Linked DNA regions of Canis lupus familiaris. The protein of the gene in region 3 interacts with the protein of the main gene of each other region in a pairwise test. Links are inferred from orthologs where the notes say so. Each region holds a gene or a part of one and is shown on either strand. Other genes may lie near its edges.

Region 1 (5,924 bases), on a different chromosome or scaffold from region 3:
AAACTTAGCTAACTTGTACTTGGCTACTAGTTAGTGTGACTGGGTGACCAGCTGTTCATGGGACACATGTCCCAGAGTGGTCATTAGACATATCCATAGGCTAACCTGAACCACTGGTTCTTTTTGGTGACTGCAAATCGCCTGTTCGACTTCAAGGTCCAGTACCTTTTTTTAAAATTTTTTTTAAAGATTTTATTTACTTATTCATGAGAGACACAGAGAGAGAGGCAGAAACAGCAGAAGCAGACTCCATGCAAGGAGTCCAATATGGGACTCAATCCTGGGACTCCAGGATCACGCCCTGAGCCGAAGGCAGACGCTCAACTGCTGAGCCACCCAGGTGTCCTAAGGTCCAGCATCTTTCCAGGGGTTCTCACTCAGGTAACCATGACTCCAGGTGCCAGGACTGTCTTGCTTCCCCTGACTCCAAACAGCAGCCCAGATGCAGAGTGACGCCCACCGGCCCCCCAGGGGTGGGTCGGGGTTAACCCCACCTCTATCAAGCCCTCTCGGGGTCCAGCCTCTGTCAGCTCCCCTCCCCCAGGTCAGGCCTTACTTCCTCAGTAAAAGGAGTAAAAGCACCCGGCCAGCCAGCCAATCTGTCCATGAAAGCTTGGTAAACAGCAGCAAAGCCCACTGCTATGGGCAGGAGCCTTGCCTACCACGGTAGGGTCACAGCCTCCGCAGCAGCCCCTCTTTACATCCCAGGTTAACTTCAGACTTGCCTCTCCAAACTTCTGAATAAACGCCAGATCCTTTCTGAAATTAAATTCGTACCTAGGCCACTGCTGCTCCGAATTGCCACCTTCTAAAACAGAAATCATCTTCTTCCCTCCACCCCATTTACTTCCTGAGGTAGCAGCCGATTTCACCTCCCCCTGGAATCAGCTGGTCAGTCACATCTTCACATGAGTCACTGGTTTTCTGTGACACCATATTCCTACCCCCCCTTCCATCCTCAATCATGAAGGAATTTCAGTGTTCCTGCTCTCCCTTCCCAGACTAAGATAGACCCATTGGCCTCTTGGGCTCCGCTCCAAAGAGCTGACAACAGAGGGCAACACAGGACCCAGGACCTGGCTACTTCTTGTCCCTGACCCACTCAGAGAAGGAAGCCTGGTGCATTTGTCCTCCTGCGGCTCCCTGGGACCAGTACCAGCCAACAGGAGCAGAGCAAGCAACAGAGAAAGCTACAGGATCTGGCCTGTAAAGATTCTGTTCTTAAAGCCCATGGACCTTCCCAAGGAGCACGCAAAGCCTTCCCGTCAGATCCCAAGGACAGTCTACACCCCATGACCGGCCCATTCCTGCCCCTGCTGATGCTTCCACAGATTAACCAAACAGGAGCCCCACGGGGCATAGAGCATTCACGCCCCCCTCTGGAAACCTCTCACAACAGTTAGCACCCAGCAGGGAGGCAGCACCCAGCAGGGGGTGTCTGGATCCCGCTACTTACCTCGTTTTAGTCTCTCCATGGCGCTCTTGCTCCCTGCATAGGTGGGTCTAATCTCTTTCCCCAACTCTTCAATGATGGCCAGCAGCTCAGCATATTTGCTTTGGGGTACCTGGCTGTTCCCAGTTCCCTAAAATCAGAAGAAGTTTAAATGGATTGAACCCTATCCTGATCCTAAGGCCACGGTCAGGACCCTACCACATGCCAGCCACAGCGAGGGCAGGGCACAGGGAGAAGCCCACCGAGAGGCAGTGGCTGGAGGCAGGGCAGCCTGGCCTAGGTTCCCAGAGCTTCTGCCTCTGCTGGAACCGGCCACACGCTGAGAAATAACCACTGACCAGAAACCTGGGCCTTTCTACTGTCCTCCTACACTCAAGGAAACCACTAGCAGCCTCCAGAAGGTTTTAATCATCTTAAATGAGTAAAAGGACTGGTTTGTCTCAGCAAGTACTGGGTGCTTCCTAGGATCCAGGTGGATGCACCATCCCAGGGGAATGACAGTGGACAAGCTGTGGGCCATACCGTGGGGTCTGGAGAACTATAAATAATTGCCAAAGACCATCTGGACAGAATGTGTTTCCACTTACCCATCCTCCCCCTGCCAGCAGGGCCCACCCCAAAAAACCTGTTTTTCTATAAGCCCTCCCCCTCCACGGCCCAAGTATGCACCCAATGAGTGAGGCTGGGTCCCCGCAGCCCCCCCACAAGGCCCTCGCCTGCTCCTTCCTCCTCTGTTGCCGCTGTCTCCTGGCCTCCAGGGCCTTTCTCCTGTCCTTGCCCAGCTCCTCAGTGCCCTCCCAGTGCCGCCTCTTGGCCTGGTGGTCTTCCCGCCACCGCTGCTTCTTCTGGCGCTCCCGCTCCTGGGACAGCAGGGCCTGGTGGGGCATGGCCAGCCATCCCCCACTCCCAGAGACAGCCTCCATGGCAACCTCAGAAGGTGGCCACGTTCCAATTGTGGCAGAGAACCCCAGGACAGGCTGGCAGGCACTGAGGCGGGGGCCTGGCCGGGTCCCTCCACCCGTGACAGGCAGTAAGGCCAGGGCCAGTGCCGACCCCACTTGCCAGTGAGGAACAGATCTCTGCAAGGCTGCCAAGCAGGGGTCAGTCTTGTAGGTAGCAGAACCGTATAGAGTCCCCCTGCAGCTTGGCTCCAGGGCCACCAGTTCCTGACAAAGCCCATCTGGGCTCCGGAAGAGATGGGTCCTGTCCCCCTCTATGCTGGGGTGGTGACCTTGTGGGGAGTGAGTGGGAACGGGGCTCCCCTCTCCTCTGCCCCGGCTCAGATCCAGGGCCCAGGTCAGGCCTTACTTCCTCAGGAATGCGGTACAGAGACTCCCGTCACCCCCCACCATAGGGACACATGTGGGTGGTGGCCCCAACAGGACCTGTGGCACTCAGGTCTCCCTGTCCCCCATCTCTTGGTGTCCCCATGAAACACCCTGCCACTCCTCTGTTCTGATGCCTCAAGGCTTGAATATGTACCACCCAGGGCCGGAGCTTCAGGAAGTTCAGACACTGTTTCATCCCATCACCTCTACTCCTTGGTTGTTCTCACCAGCTCTCTCCCCTCCCTGGAGGGTGAGAAGCATGTCCCCTCCATGCCCAGACCAGCCCCAGAGCCCCCCAATCCCCGCCCAAGGCTGTACCTGGGTATAACCTAGAGATGGTGGCCCGTAGTCACTCAGCAGCTGGCGGTACTGGGAGGATGTGGCCATACTGGTGGAGGGCGGGTGGACACTCCCAGCTGTGGAGGAGAACCAAAGCATCAGGGATCATATAGTTGTACACAGAGCAGAGACCCCCTGCCTGGGACCCACAACAAACAGCAGCCTTTCGTCTTCATAGGACGGAGACCCTCTCCTGTCCTCTGTTTGGTGATGGCCGATGCTCAGCCCAGACAATAGTAAAAGGGAGCTAACAGGTCACTGCTCTTCATATCCACCATCACGGCAGACATCGCTCATCAATCACAGAACTCCTCCCCATCTGCGCAGTCTGGACTGGTAGCAACGATGAAGTCTACTGCTGTTCTTGGCCTAATCCTTGCTAGTCCCTTCTCTCGGGGTCCCGTTCCCCAGAGATGGATGACCTGGACCCAAATCACTGCCACAAGAGCCCACCTGCTACTGAGGCTGCTCCATATCCTCTCCGCCCAAATCTCTGCCAGGCATACGGTAAGAAGACAGGGCGTTCAGAGCATCTGAGACCTAACCCTGGCCAGAGATTGGTTCACTGGACACGAAGTCAGGAATCTGAAATATATCAGTCTCTCTGGGGGGTCCTCAGGAGCCTCTCAATCTCCCTGAGCCCCTCCAAAGAGGCGACGGGATTCTACAGCCCTCCAAAGAGGCGACTGTCGGATTCTACGCCTGGATGGATCACATCCAAAGAGGGGAGGGCTAAGGCCCCGCTTAGGGACTGCACTCAGACACACCGTCCCTCAGCTGTGAGGGACCATATGGGGACAGGGCCCGGCTAAGAATGGAGTCTCTTGGATGGGGGTGGGGAGTCACCAGCAGGGCATTTCCCGGCTCCAGCTCAGTAGCTGGAAGCCTGCAGACCCATAATGGCGTCCAAGTGGCCATTAGCGGGTAGAGGATGTCCTGCAGAATTACAAACAGCGGTAACCATGGAGAATTTACCTAGCCCTCCTCAGCAGCCGCCCGCCTGCCTCCACGCCCAGTCGAGGAGCAGCTCCCCCTCTGCCTGCCGCCCCCAGAGCCAAACGGTCTCTCATGCACACGGCAGACTACGCAGACTTGGCCCTGGGGATGGACAGCTGGTGCCAGGCTGGCCAAACCGACCAGCTGCTCATCTGGTGTGAGCAGGGGAGGGGAAAAGGAGGGAGGAGGCTCGGGAGCTCAGGCTGGTGGAGTGGAAGGGCCCTAGGGGAGCCCTGGAGCCCCTCACTGTAAAGACACAGTCTGGCGAGGGTGGGTGTTCCCCTGAGCCACATGGCACAGAAGAGGCTAGCACCCCGACAGCCATCCCTCTGTCCAGGAGCTGGGGACAGCTCGTACCCAAGATGTCTTCCTTGCTTTCTTTCGGGGCCTGTCATGGATCTCACCTCCCCCCACTCCAACCCAGAGCCCAGGTTTAGGATCAAATAGGGAGTGCCCAGCCAGGAACAGGGATTTTGCCAGCTGGGAGGCAACTGGATTTTGCCAGTTGGGAGGTGGGCACACCCCTGGGGCACTCTGAGGCACAGACAGCAGGCCTTGAAGTGGGGACGGGAATATACCTGTGCTGCAGGGGCAGACTGGTCAGCATGGGGAGGAACTGGGAACACATCTGTGACCTCCCTCCAAAACAACCTCAGATGTGCAGTGGCCAGAGCACAGGAACGGAGCAGGGTGGGTGCCCCCCCAAGCACCCCTCACCACAGCGGCCAGACCCCAACTCCCTGCACCTTGTGATGAGGGCAGTGAATGTGGTCTTTGCAGCCCCAGACCTGGGTTCCAGTCCTGACCACTCCAAGATATCACACCTCTCTGGAAGGCCAGGCTGCTGAATGCAAGACCAGGGGAGGAGTATGCAGCCCTGCACAGCACCAAAGTGTCTAGGAGATTCCAGTTCCTAGGCAGGAGGGGAGCAGGACTCAGGAGTGCATTCCCTGCACCATCCTTAGCCCTCACCTCTTGTTGCTTGTCATGGTTTCTTGCCTCCCTGCCTCCCAGTCCCATCCATCTGAGCTCCTACAGACAAGGGCGTGGACCAGAAGGCGGTCTGGCTGTGCCACTCCTGGCTGTGTGACCTTGGATGAGGCCCTTCCCTCTCTGGGCCTCAGTTTCTCTATCTGTTTGGGGCAATGATTCCCAACACAATGTCTAAAGGCCTACATCCCACTCTTCCATGGGGCAAGGGTTAGGTCTTGCGAGGCCAAGGGAGAGGGAGGAGAAATCTCCTGGTTTGGGTCGGGTAATAGCTCGGGGCTTGCCTTTCCCATCACCATGTGATGTGGTAGGTGACCCCAATTCCGTGTCAGTGCCAGTCCCTTACTCTTTGTTGAAAAGGCGGGGGGGAGATGTGGCCCTGGAGAGAGATGGCAGAAGGGCCCTGAGTTCTACTCATGCCCACGCACTTCGGCAGACACAGGGAGGGCCAGAGCATGAGGCTGCAGGAGGCCAGGGAGAAAACCAGACTGGGCGTGAGCACGACAGTCTCTGAGCATCACAGACAATGCACGCAGTGTGCAGGGACCAGGGAGGGCCCGAGCCGAGGGAGGGATTGGCAGAGGCCAGCAGCTCCTGGGGCCAGGCGCAGCTCCCCGCCCCCACGCCAGACAAAGAGCGGCCTGGGCCTGGGGAGCTGGCGGCCTTCCCGCCACTTGGGGCGCCTGGGGGGGGGTGTGCTCTCCGGCGGGGAGGCGGGGGCTTTGTCTAACTCCGCCACTGCCACCGCCGGCCAGGCCGCGGCTTGGCAACCCGCGAGCAGGAGGCAGGGCTGGAGGGCGTGAGGGATGATGACAAGG
Region 2 (5,073 bases), on a different chromosome or scaffold from region 3:
CTCCCCCTGCCTGCCTCCCTACCTTGTAGTAGTTGATGAGATTGAGGTACTGTAGAGTAGAAATGACATCTTCCTTCTTGATGCTGGTGATTTCACTGATCTCGCTGTGGGAGGACAAGGATCAGGTCCTCTGGAGGCCTTCCTCTCTGCCCCAAGCCCCCAGGAGCCCCAGGAATGAGGATGGGCCATGCCATGCACCCCCAGGGTCAGAGGTAGGGCCAGGCTCACTTGATGGTGATCTGTGGCCTCTCCCCGCTCTCTGACTTCAGCCCCATCAGGATCTCCAGGATGGTCTGGGACCAGTAGCTTCGGTAGGATAGGAGGCCAAGGTCTGAGAGGGGCTTCTCAGGGGTCCCCGTTTTCCCTTCCACTTTGGAGAGTTCATAGCCTACAGCAAGGCAGCAAGAAGGGGTGGGTAAGCGATCACACCTTCATGCAACTTTCAGAATATGGTTACAGGAGTAAACTGCCTGGTTCCCATCTCACCCTTGCCATGTGGTAGTTCTGTGACCTGACATACGTAGCTAGTCTGCTGTGTCTGTTTCCCCAGAGAGCTAATGAGCATTCACTCTTCATCTCTGTGCTGTGGAGGGTACTGAAAGGAACAGCTATAATCCACCTGGAGAAAAACTCAGGAACCAGGGAAGTGCAGAGAAAATGACAAGAAAGGCAAGTGCCTGATTTTCATCATTCCAGACCATATCTCCTGGGTATGTGAGAAGGGAAGGCAGCCCCCACGTGTGGTCTGGGCCTCAGGATGTCTGGATTTGCAGTCAAGTCAGTCCCCCTAGCTGTGACCTGGGGAGCATTGGCTGCTCCAGGACCAGGCTGGCCTGACTAGGTGTTGATAAGAAGCAAGGAGAGGCACTAATGTACTTCCCAGGTCAGAAGGCGGCCATTCCACAGCAGGTAACTCACCTCTCCAGAGGCACTCTCCGACTGCTCTGTCCTCCTCTACCCTGCTGATTACTGGGCACTAGCAGGCAGTTCCTAGGGAGCCCCTCAGGCTGTGCAAAATCCTATATGGCTTCGTGTCTCTTGGCAGAGTCTTCATTCTCTCCCTCAGGGTCCTGGGGTGTCCTTCATTACCTCTATAAGCCCTTCTTCACCCTCAGTCACAGCTATGTAGGCTCACAGCCCTTTTTGCCTACCCCTCCCAATCTTTATCAGCTAGTCTTGCCCAATCTTCTGTGACTTCCACCAAGCAGCCTGCTGGGGAGAGGGACAGAAAAGCTCCTGCTTTAGAGAAAGGAAGCCTGGAAGAGGAAGGGAGCACACCTGGGTCCCTACTTGACTTTGCTGGGCCTGCCAGTGCATGTGGGATCCTGCCACATCAGCCTCCCCAGCTGCAAGGAGCTCCTGGCCCCTCCCCAGTGAACATCCACCTGCCCTCAAGAACTGCCCGGAATGGGCACTCCCAGTGCACCTGTCTGCTCCTGCTGGGCAGAAGTGAGCACATCACATTGGTGTCCTTGCCCACATCCTATCTCCATGGAGGTCTGAGCTTCAAGGCTTGGATTCATTTTAAGTATCCGCCCACATATCAGGCTGAGGGCTTCCTGAGAATGTGACCCCATCTTGGCATCATTCTATTAATAAAATAACTCAAATGGATCATGACCTTATCAAGTCAAGCCACTGTGACTTCACCAAACAGCTAAGGCTCCCTCCTGTCTCTCAGGTCAGAACTTAACTATCCCAAGGGTTCAGTGAGTGGTGAGTTGAGTGGAGTGATGTAAGATGCTGGGAAGCAAAAGGGGGCCTTGCGGGTGGGGGACATAGAAGAGTTCACGGATGATGAGGGGCAGAGTCCCTTGTGGGCTTTAAGAGACTGACCTGCCTGAATCCAAGGAGCAGAGACCAAATCCACACAAATCAGTGCTTCCTTATTTTTGCTGAGTTAACATCACTTTAGCATTTTGAGCATCCACTATCTGCAAGGCTCAGGTTACAGCTGGGATAATGAAGCACTGGTCCTCACTCAGGAATTTGTATGGTGGCATATGAAGCACTGGTCCTCACTTAGGAATTTCTATGGTGGCACAGAACCAGGCAGATGAGCAACAGTGGCTCACCTGGTTTCTGCTGATGGCTCCCTGGATGGGAGCATATGAGTCAGATTTGTGAAAAGTTGGGTGGTGCTTAGAACCTCACCCAAGGAAGAGTGAGGAGCTGAAAACCTAGCCCAGACAAGCAGGGTAGTTGCCCTGAGAATGGAGAAAGCCTTGGGAGAGTCCCACCTTTATTTCTGGCCAGCTACCCTGGTGACAGCAGGGTTAACAATCATAGCAACCTAGCTTGTCTACAAGGGAGGCACAATGGCAGCACTGGCACTGAGCCTGGGCCCGCATGTACCCACCCCGGGGCCCCTGGCCGGGAGCAAAGGTACTACTCACTGAACTCGATCAGCAGCTTGCCGTAGCCCCGGCGCTGGTAGGGAGGCAGGGTCAGGATGCAGGCCACATTGTAGTCTTCTGTGGATTCCTTTTCCTGGAAAGGGGAGGAAGGTGAGTGAGGAGGGGACACAGCTCAGGGCAGGGCCAAGAGATGATCTGGATGAGCACTCACCTTGGAGAAGTAGCCGACGATGTGGAAGCCCTTGCAATCATACTCTGTCATGACATAGAAGAGGAAGGGATCTGTATCATAGTACAATGTCTTGTGGTCGAGGAAACACTTGGCCAAAAGACACAGGTTCTGGGAATAACTCTGCAAAGGAAAAGGCGTGTCACCACTCTGGGTACCCTGTCTTAAATGTGGTCATTTGGTTTCTTTACCCAGGGCTGATAGATGATGAGTCTTCCTCCCTGGCACCTGACCCGTTCTATTAGGCTGTCCCTCCTACTCAGGCAGAGCTAATTCTCAGAGTCAAGGAGCCCATGTACCAGCTCTGTGATAGTGTCTGACCTCCTGTCTTGCTGGTGAGCTGGGCAAGTTTACCCCTGTTCCCCATACCTCCCCCTAAGTCTTGTCTGGGGGGTTTCCACTGCTCTCTGCTGCAGTAACAAAAGTCAGTAGGTTGTGGCATGTCTAGAAAGACACTGCCAAGGCTTAGGAGAGGACCTCTACCCTGGTGACAGTCTTAGGAATCTACCTTTTAAAAACCACAAAACTAAAAAAATAAAAATAAAAAAAAATAAAAAATAAAAACCACAAAACTCTCCCGCCTCCAGTCACACATACTGGAGACTGATCTCCTAACCTACAATGGAGATCAGGTGTTCTGAAACTGAAAGTAACTGCCTTAGGGGTCTCCCCACCAAAAGGATTCATCTTGCTGCTTTGCTTTACCTCTATACACATTTTCTGCATATGAGGCATGACTTTTTAGCCAGATGCTGGGCCATCAGGATGCCCAAGTCCACACAGAACAGTAGTGAAAGCAGCCTCCTTCCCTTGAGCTTCCTCAGCACCCAGGCCAGAGCTCTACCCTGTAATTCAAGATGCCCTGCTTCTCCCTTACTGCCCCCTCTTTGCCCCAGGAATGGTCCCACAGTCTTAACGGTCCAGATTACTCCCTTCTTCCTTCCCACAGACTAAGGCAGGTTTGAAGCCCAAAACCTGCAGTGACCCCTACTCCTCCCCCAACTGGCCACCTTCTCCCCACCTGAGCTCTGTATCTTGGAACAGCCTTGCCTCATCCTCTCTGCTTCTCAGCCAGAATGATCTTTACCTTTCCCACCATCTGTACATCCACGACTGCCCTTCAGAACCCCACTCCTTGGGCTTCCCTTACCTATCTTATCCTTCATGTTAAGGATCAAAGATCATCTCCTATGTGAAACTGCTGGCTACCTCTGGGTCCTGATAACCCATCCTTTGTTTCATGACACTTATCCCTGGGATCTGAGTGGATGTTGGCAGATCTGTTTTTGCCATGAACTGTGAACTCAAAGATTCTAATTACTGGTCATCTTTATACCTCCCACTAACTACCTCACAGCAGAAACTCAATAAAAATGGAATGAGCTAATCTGTTGGCCAGACTGCCTAGTATTTTCCTGAGCAGGAAAAAGCTGCTCGTTTAACTTCCCCCAGACCACCAGTGCCAATGACTCCCCACTGCCCCTCAGCCACAGACCTTGTTCTTCCGTCCATCAATCTCAAAGAAAGAGATGGTACCCTTGCGGTAAATCTCATTGCCTGGGGGGTGTCGCAGGTCACACTTGGTCTGAGGAAGAGAGGAGGATCAGAGGCAGGGACAGGGTGGGGGATGGTAGTAAAGCAACCTCCTTGGACCCTTCATACCAAGTGACGCTGCAGACACTTGAGACTACGGCCGTATTTGAGGCAGAACTCGCAGAGGTAGAGGACGGGCAATGTGGTAAGTTCCTGTGGGTATGGGGAGAAGTACCACGGCTTCAGGCGGTGCCGGCCCAGCTCGATACACTCAATGTTCTTCATCCGGGTGACAATGTCGTCGTGGCTGCGGTCAGACACCAAGCTGCCAGTCATGCGTGGAGCGGACGGTATTCCATCTGAGCTGTCCTGGGAATCCTGCCCAGGCCCAGTGGAAAACACCAGGTTACAGAAGACAGCTCAAGCAGGACACCCGACAGCTCACACAACCCTTACATAGCTTTCCTTATTTTCAAAGTGTAACAACAACTCTATGGCAGAGGAAGAAAAAGGCTGGTACTACATTGTATTCCCCACTTTCCAGATAAGGGAAGGGAAACTAGGTAAATTATCAATTGCACTTTGAAAAAGATCACCAATGACTGATCTGAATCAGCTTTGCCTGGCTCCTAATCCTGCCAAAAACCATCACTGCCTACCACCTCTTGTTTATTTTTTTAAGTTTACTTATTTATGTATTTTTAAAGTTTTTTTTTTTCTTTAAGATTTTATTTATTCATGAGACAGAGAGACAAGCAGAGACATAGGCAGAGGGAGAAGCAGGCTCCATGTAGGGAGCCCGACATGGGACTTGATGCCGGTCTCCAGGATCACACCCTGGGCTGAAGACAGTGCTAAACCGCTGAGCCACTCGGGCTGCCCTATTTTTAAAGATTTTATTTATTTATTCATGACAGACACAGAGAGAGAGAGGCAGACACACAGGCAGTGGGA
Region 3 (5,924 bases):
AAGCACATGTATGATCAGCTCGAGCAGGACCTCCTGCTTTGCCAGCAGGAGCTGAAGGAGCTCAAGACCACCCAGTCCATCCCAGAAGACAAAGGGAAATGTGCTAATAAGGTAATTGTAATTAAGAGAGGTGAGGTCTCCTGGGTACTTCCTCTGGAAAAAGGAGGTATAAGGGCAACAGGTGCAGTCATCCAACCAAGGGGCTTGATGAGCTCCCTGTCCGTCCAGTCACAGCTGGGTGTGCAAGTCAGGAAACAGAAGAAGAGTCCCATGCTATTTACTTTTAAACAGTTTGCCTTGATCTTGATTTTGAGCCCAAGCCACGGCCTAATAGGATCAGTGCAGCTGCATCCAGTCTGAACACCTGAGGGTTTTGCATGTGATTCCATATGTGTAGACACTTAGACCTTGTTATTAGAACTTATAGTGATATCTTGTAATTTGCAGAGAACATACAGAAAAGCCCACATGTGCAACTTTTATCATTAGACCTAGAAAGAGAAGGTCCAGTTTTCTCAGGCAGATTGCAGATGCTCTTGTCAGGTGATGTGGTCTTGTGCAACTAGACCAGGGTGCTGATTGGATATTAGAAGGACCTAGGCTCTTCTAAGGTTTCCTCTGTGACTTCAGAATAGAGAAGTTCTCTAAGCTTGAGTTTTACCCTCTTTAAATTGAACAGAATACTATTCCCTTCTTACTTGCTTTTAATAATAAATCCTGGTAGTGATAAGTGAGGCTTTCCTTATTTTCTTTTTTTCCATAGTGTATAAAATGCAAGTCATTATCAGTTATCCTTAGACCTTGTGTTGAGCACTTTCAGCTCCTGATCACTGATAGGAAATGGAAGATGTTGAAACATGATGGAGAAAAGGCACGAGATTCTCAAAGTATGGTAGAGCAAGTCACCTTTTGCCGGAATACTCAGTGGCTCCTATCACAGCCAGCAGCAGGCTGTGTCCCCAGGGAAAAGCCTTTGGAAGACCCAGAATGGGGAGCTTATCTGGACCACCCCAATGGTCCACCTGCCTCTCTATGCCCAGGTTCACATTTTCTTCTTCCATTCCCACTCAGTCTAGAGGCCAGAGTGTCTATGACTTGCTCACCCTCTCCTCTCCTAGTAGAAGAGACTACAGAGAGGGAGCCAGCTCGCTGACACAGAGCCAGCTTTTCCTCTTGTCCTAAAACAGCATTGAGATGAATTCGATATTAGAAGGTTTGGTTTCATGGAATCATGGGATAATTTAGTCTTTTCAATCCAAATTCAGCAGTAGCCCATATTTTTCTAGATATTTAAAAAAATGATAATGAAAACAAAAATGGGGACAAATCGGGTGGAGTTTTTATTGGTAAGAAGTATAATTAGGTATAAAACCAACTGGGGTTGGTAACAGTGACAGGAACCAGAACTCCCAGCAGGGCAGGAGAATGATCTTTACCAAAGGGAAGGGCCAAAGGAAAGGAAGGTGGGGACCTGAGAAGGGAGGGGTGTTGTTAACACTCCCTTCACAGGGCTCTCAGAAGGGGCCAGAAGACGAAATTTACAGCATAACCGGACAGTCCTGAGCAGCCTGCTGGGGTTTCCCATTTGGTGTCTAAACCCTCACGGGTGCAGCATGGCTTGGGACTGTCAGTCCAAGGGGACCATACAGGGAGGGAGCCTCTGGTGAACCACAAGATGCAGGAGAGCACAGAAGGGCTCTGCTTGCTGGACAGTGCAGAGAAATGCCTCACAGAGTAACCACCCCCTCCACAGTGTGACACACTGCTGTCCAGACTCACAGAATTGCAGGAAAAGTACAAGGCCAGCCAGAAGGAGATGGCGCAGCTGCAGATGGAGCAGTGTGAGCTCCTGGAGGATCAGAGGAGGATGCAGGAGGAGCAGGGGCAGCTGCAGGAAGAGCTGCACAGGCTCACGTTCCCACTGCCCAAAACTGGTCTCATCCCTAAGGTAACCCCAGCCAGGGAATGGCTGCTGACTAGGGAGAAGCTGCTTCGAGAAGCTTCTGAGGTGTGACTATACTTGGGGAAAAGATCAGGGTGGGGATCAAACCTTTTCTCAGTCAGCCATGGCTTACTTTGGTCACTGACTCTTCAAACCAAAAAATTGAGTATAGCTGAGTAGGTTTTAAATCTTAAAATACATATTGTACTCTGGAACCTGCCCAGCATTTTCTCCTTAGATTTTTAGTCCAACTGGATAAAATATACTCTGAGAGAACTTTGTAAACTACAGAATGCCTGCACCATACGAGATCATGACTACTCACCTAGCAGGTCTCCACAGAAGGACCACTCCCCCACCACACCAACCCCATCCCAGATGGCTGTTCAGAGCCAACCCAGAGACTCCTAAGGGAAGGGTCCCCAGCAGGAAGGAGGAGGCATGGGTCTTCTATGTAGCTACCACGGTTCCTGCCTGCTTCCTTCCCACTCCACCTTACAGAGTCAGGAGCTACTTACAAAGTTACAAGACCTGTGTGAACTACAGCTGCTCTACCAAGGTATGCAGGAAGAGCAGAAAAAACTGGTGCAGAATCAAGAGTGTGTGCTCAAAGAACAGTCAGAGCTGCATGAGGAGCTGCATCATTTCAAAGAGTCTCGTTTCCGGGATGTGTTGGAGAAGCCCGATGATTCCAAATCACCTAAGTCCTCCAAGTGTGGTCAGAACAAGGTAACCAGAACAAGAGGTGGGGAGACAGTTCCTGGGACAGCAGCATGGTAGGGAAGAGGTCTCCATGGAAGGGTCAAAGTCAGGAAGGCCTGTCTGGCCAAGTGTAAGAATGAGCCTGAGGCCCCCTCCTTCAGCCGTGCCCACCCACAGGCTCATTAAGATGTGGCTTTAGCTATGGCCTGAGGACCTCAATCAGGTACATGCTCAGTTGAAGTGCTGTGAACACTGAGAACTGGGGGTAACCCAGGAATCTAATCACTTGATAATTTGATGCAGCCCCTTCAACATCATTTTCCAGATTTAAAGTATCAATTTAGTGTTTGTCTGGATTCCTTGGGACTGACTCTGAGCATGTCATTCCTTTCTCATGAGCTGGTTGATAATTGAGCAGTATACTTTCCAGTGATCAAAATCTATCACTTTTTGGTGTTCTACCTGCCACAAATCTGGGGCCATTCATTTCCAAGGGAAGAATTCCTAGCATGTGGCATTCTTGGTACTGACCACATTATCTTCATTGGAACTTTGGTGGCAGTAAGAGCCATGTGATGGGGGTTAGACTAGAGAATCCATGCATCTCAAACACCAAGAAGGGGCCATGCCTCTGAGGTCACACTGGTGGAGACTTCTGCACAAGTCTCTTCAGGATTAAGGGATGCCTTTGGTCTGAGGTCTCAGGGTGAGCAGGGAAGAGCAGGTAGAGAGTTCCAATTTAGGCTAGCCCTATTCATTCAGATATTAGCCTAGATAGGGAGAACCAGGAAATTGCAGAAGTCCAAACAGATTTGGTCAGATTCCAAGGGCATCAGATTTCAGCATGGATAACACTGACCAGGAACCAGGTATAACTATTTCTTTAACTGATCAGATCTCACCCTGGGCATTAGCAGCCAAGAAGCCAGGCGCAGAGGGCCTGGGAAACATGCCCAGAGGCCAGATTCAGAATTGGGACAGGAGGTACAGGGACTTGTAGTGAGACCTTAATTCCAGGTCCACATCTTCTGAAGGAGGAATTCTTGTAGGCTCACATTGCTCACATTCAAGGCCAGGGCTGATTTTAGAATTGGGAATAGGGGAGGGGACTGAGCCCCAGGGTTAGGATATAATGGGTATATCCTGACTGAGAAGACGGGAGGGGAGGGAGGCAGAGTGTTCTTGATACTGACTCAGCTCTGCTGCATGGAGAGACGGATGTACCAGAGTTTAGAAACCAGCAGGAACGGGAGCCTGGGAACCATAAAATATCTGCCCTGGGAAGATTATCCCCAGTGTGAGAAACTGACATGTGCCAGTAGCTGCAGGCTGTTAAAGACCTAGGCCATGGTGAAATGAGTGTAGGTGTACGGGTCCCTGAAGTGCATCTCAGACATCTGTCCCAGGAAGGGTGCAGCTAGAAGGATGGCAGTATCTGGAGTGTTAGTAATGTCTCCCCACCCACTCCCGGCAGTCCAAGATGATCATCGCCCAGATTCAGGCTCTGCAGGTGCTGTATGAGGGGACTCAGACCGAGCAGGAGCTACTGCAGCAGGAGCAGGGAAGGCTCCTCGAGGAGCGGAAGAGGCTGCAGGCCGACCTACAGCTCTGCCTGGAAGAAATGCAGCTGCTCCAGGGCCAGTCCCCTTCCATAAAAATGAGCCTGGAGTCCTACAAGACCTACGGCGATATGGCGACTGTCAACGAGAACTGTCGCCGGAGTTATAGTAGCATTGATGACAGTGAGAGCTATCACAAGAGTTTTGGGAGCACTCAGGCCAGCAATGAGAGCTTTCTCAAGAGCTATGACAGCGGCTCCAGTGCCCATGAGAACTTTGAGAAGAGTTATTGCAGCAGCAGCAGCAGCAGCGTTACCTATAAGAAGAGTTACGGCAGCAGTAGTAGTTCTGACACCTGTTACAAGAGTTACATCAGCAGCACTGACGATGAGCTTGCTGGGCCTGAAGATACAGAGGTAAAAGTAGCCAAAGGAGAGGTCAGCCAGGGAGAGAAGTTTCTTGTCTTACTAAGAGATAAGTCACCAGTGAAGGGTGCAAGAAGTGAGGTGGGCAGCGGGGTCAGGGCTGAGCTGGGTCACTGGAAATGAACAAGGCACTCCACCTGTCTAATATGGAGATGCTCCCATCACAGCGATGGTGCTTTATGGGAGGAAATACAGAATTAGCCCCTGGGCAGCTTCAGATCCTTGCCGCCATTGTTCTGTACCCAGGTAAGGGCCTAGCAAAGAGAGTGGGGCGGAGGGCAGGTCCTCCCCTGGGTGCGGTCATTACTCCTCCACCCTCCGCAGCACTGTGAGGACATGGTTGCCAAGGTGGTGATCAAGCTGCAGGGGGTGCAGGCCATGTACCAGCTCAGCCAGGAGGAACATGATCGGCTGCAAGAGCAGATGAAAAAGCTGCTGGACAGGCAGAAAGAGCTGAAGGAAGAGCTGGACGCCTGTGAAAAGGAATTCAAGGAGTGCATAGAAAGCCTTGAGAAGCCCACTGCCTCCCCAAACGACAAGAATGAGGTAACTGCTATCTAGGAGGCCAGGTTTCTTCTAGGAATTCCTAGAGCCAGAGGAGGTCATAGGTCACAGCCATTTTGGAGAGACTGAGGAAAGAGGGCTGGGAGCTCACTGCTTGCTCTGCATAGTCGCCCCCTTCCTGGTCAGAGGAGCAGAGCAGGAGCTGCAGCCCATCAGCCCTGATGGACACTGCTCAGTGCTCACTGTGCTGAGAGTTACTCATCATCAAAACTCTGAATAGCTTTTCTCTTTGTCCTTTTACCATCTCTCTCCTTTGTAGGTCCCAGAACACTTCTGTGGAGTTGTATTTTTTCACCTTTAGTTATTTGGGGTCTCTTCAGCTAGATTGTGAGCACCTTGAGGATAGAGGCTTGCCTCCTTTCAGATCTCATTATGCCAAGAAGGGTGCTGTGCATCTGTGAGGGATGGGACAGAAGGCAGTCTTTCTAAACCCAGGAGTAGTCCACAGTCCAGCAGAGCTCACCATGTGCACACAGGAGAGTTCAGAGAGCAGCCAGCACGTGGGCCTAGGTTGCTTAGTATTGGTACCTACCAGGGCAACCAGAAGTGATGCCAGAAGTCAGGAAAGACAAAACCAGAAATTAGAGAGCAGCATTGGAATTTGCCTATGTTTCCAGGGTGAGGTGTAGGAGTCCAGGCACGCTCTCAGGAGTGGACCACACGGTTCCTTAGGTAGTTAATAGAGAAATAGCTTGGGCAAAGTAAGAGTTTCCATCAGAAAGATTATCTGTA

Evidence for each region. The genes of interacting proteins can lie anywhere in the genome.
Region 1: the proteins of CCDC136 (region 3) and CDK2AP1 interact in binary tests that used the Homo sapiens proteins (3 or more experiments, as listed by UniProt). The two-hybrid records come from large-scale screens. The link is inferred for Canis lupus familiaris from reciprocal best matches to the Homo sapiens genes CCDC136 and CDK2AP1.
Region 2: the proteins of CCDC136 (region 3) and KAT5 interact in binary tests that used the Homo sapiens proteins (3 or more experiments, as listed by UniProt). The two-hybrid records come from large-scale screens. The link is inferred for Canis lupus familiaris from reciprocal best matches to the Homo sapiens genes CCDC136 and KAT5.

Annotation. Positions count from the first base shown.
Region 1 is NC_049247.1:6,513,882-6,519,805, reverse strand, and holds part of CDK2AP1 (cyclin-dependent kinase 2-associated protein 1), read right to left. Parts: intron 3,628-5,924; exon of another isoform or gene 3,299-3,627; intron 3,198-3,298; coding exon 3,100-3,197; intron 2,554-3,099; exon of another isoform or gene 2,401-2,553; intron 1,584-2,400; coding exon 1,457-1,583; intron 1-1,456. UniProt on the Homo sapiens protein: Inhibitor of cyclin-dependent kinase CDK2. Also acts as a component of the histone deacetylase NuRD complex which participates in the remodeling of chromatin.
Region 2 is NC_049239.1:52,001,951-52,007,023, forward strand, and holds part of KAT5 (histone acetyltransferase KAT5), read right to left. Parts: intron 4,498-5,073; coding exon 4,249-4,497; intron 4,172-4,248; coding exon 4,082-4,171; intron 2,710-4,081; coding exon 2,569-2,709; intron 2,491-2,568; coding exon 2,397-2,490; intron 1,622-2,396; exon of another isoform or gene 662-1,621; coding exon of another isoform or gene 551-661; intron 389-550; coding exon 229-388; intron 105-228; coding exon 23-104; intron 1-22. Other genes in the region: RNASEH2C (ribonuclease H2 subunit C), read left to right, coding at 551-661. UniProt on the Homo sapiens protein: Catalytic subunit of the NuA4 histone acetyltransferase complex, a multiprotein complex involved in transcriptional activation of select genes principally by acetylation of nucleosomal histones H2A and H4.
Region 3 is NC_049235.1:7,691,752-7,697,675, reverse strand, and holds part of CCDC136 (coiled-coil domain-containing protein 136), read left to right. Parts: coding exon 1-111; intron 112-1,753; coding exon 1,754-1,948; intron 1,949-2,443; coding exon 2,444-2,671; intron 2,672-4,118; coding exon 4,119-4,619; intron 4,620-4,952; coding exon 4,953-5,174; intron 5,175-5,924. UniProt on the Homo sapiens protein: May play a role in acrosome formation in spermatogenesis and in fertilization.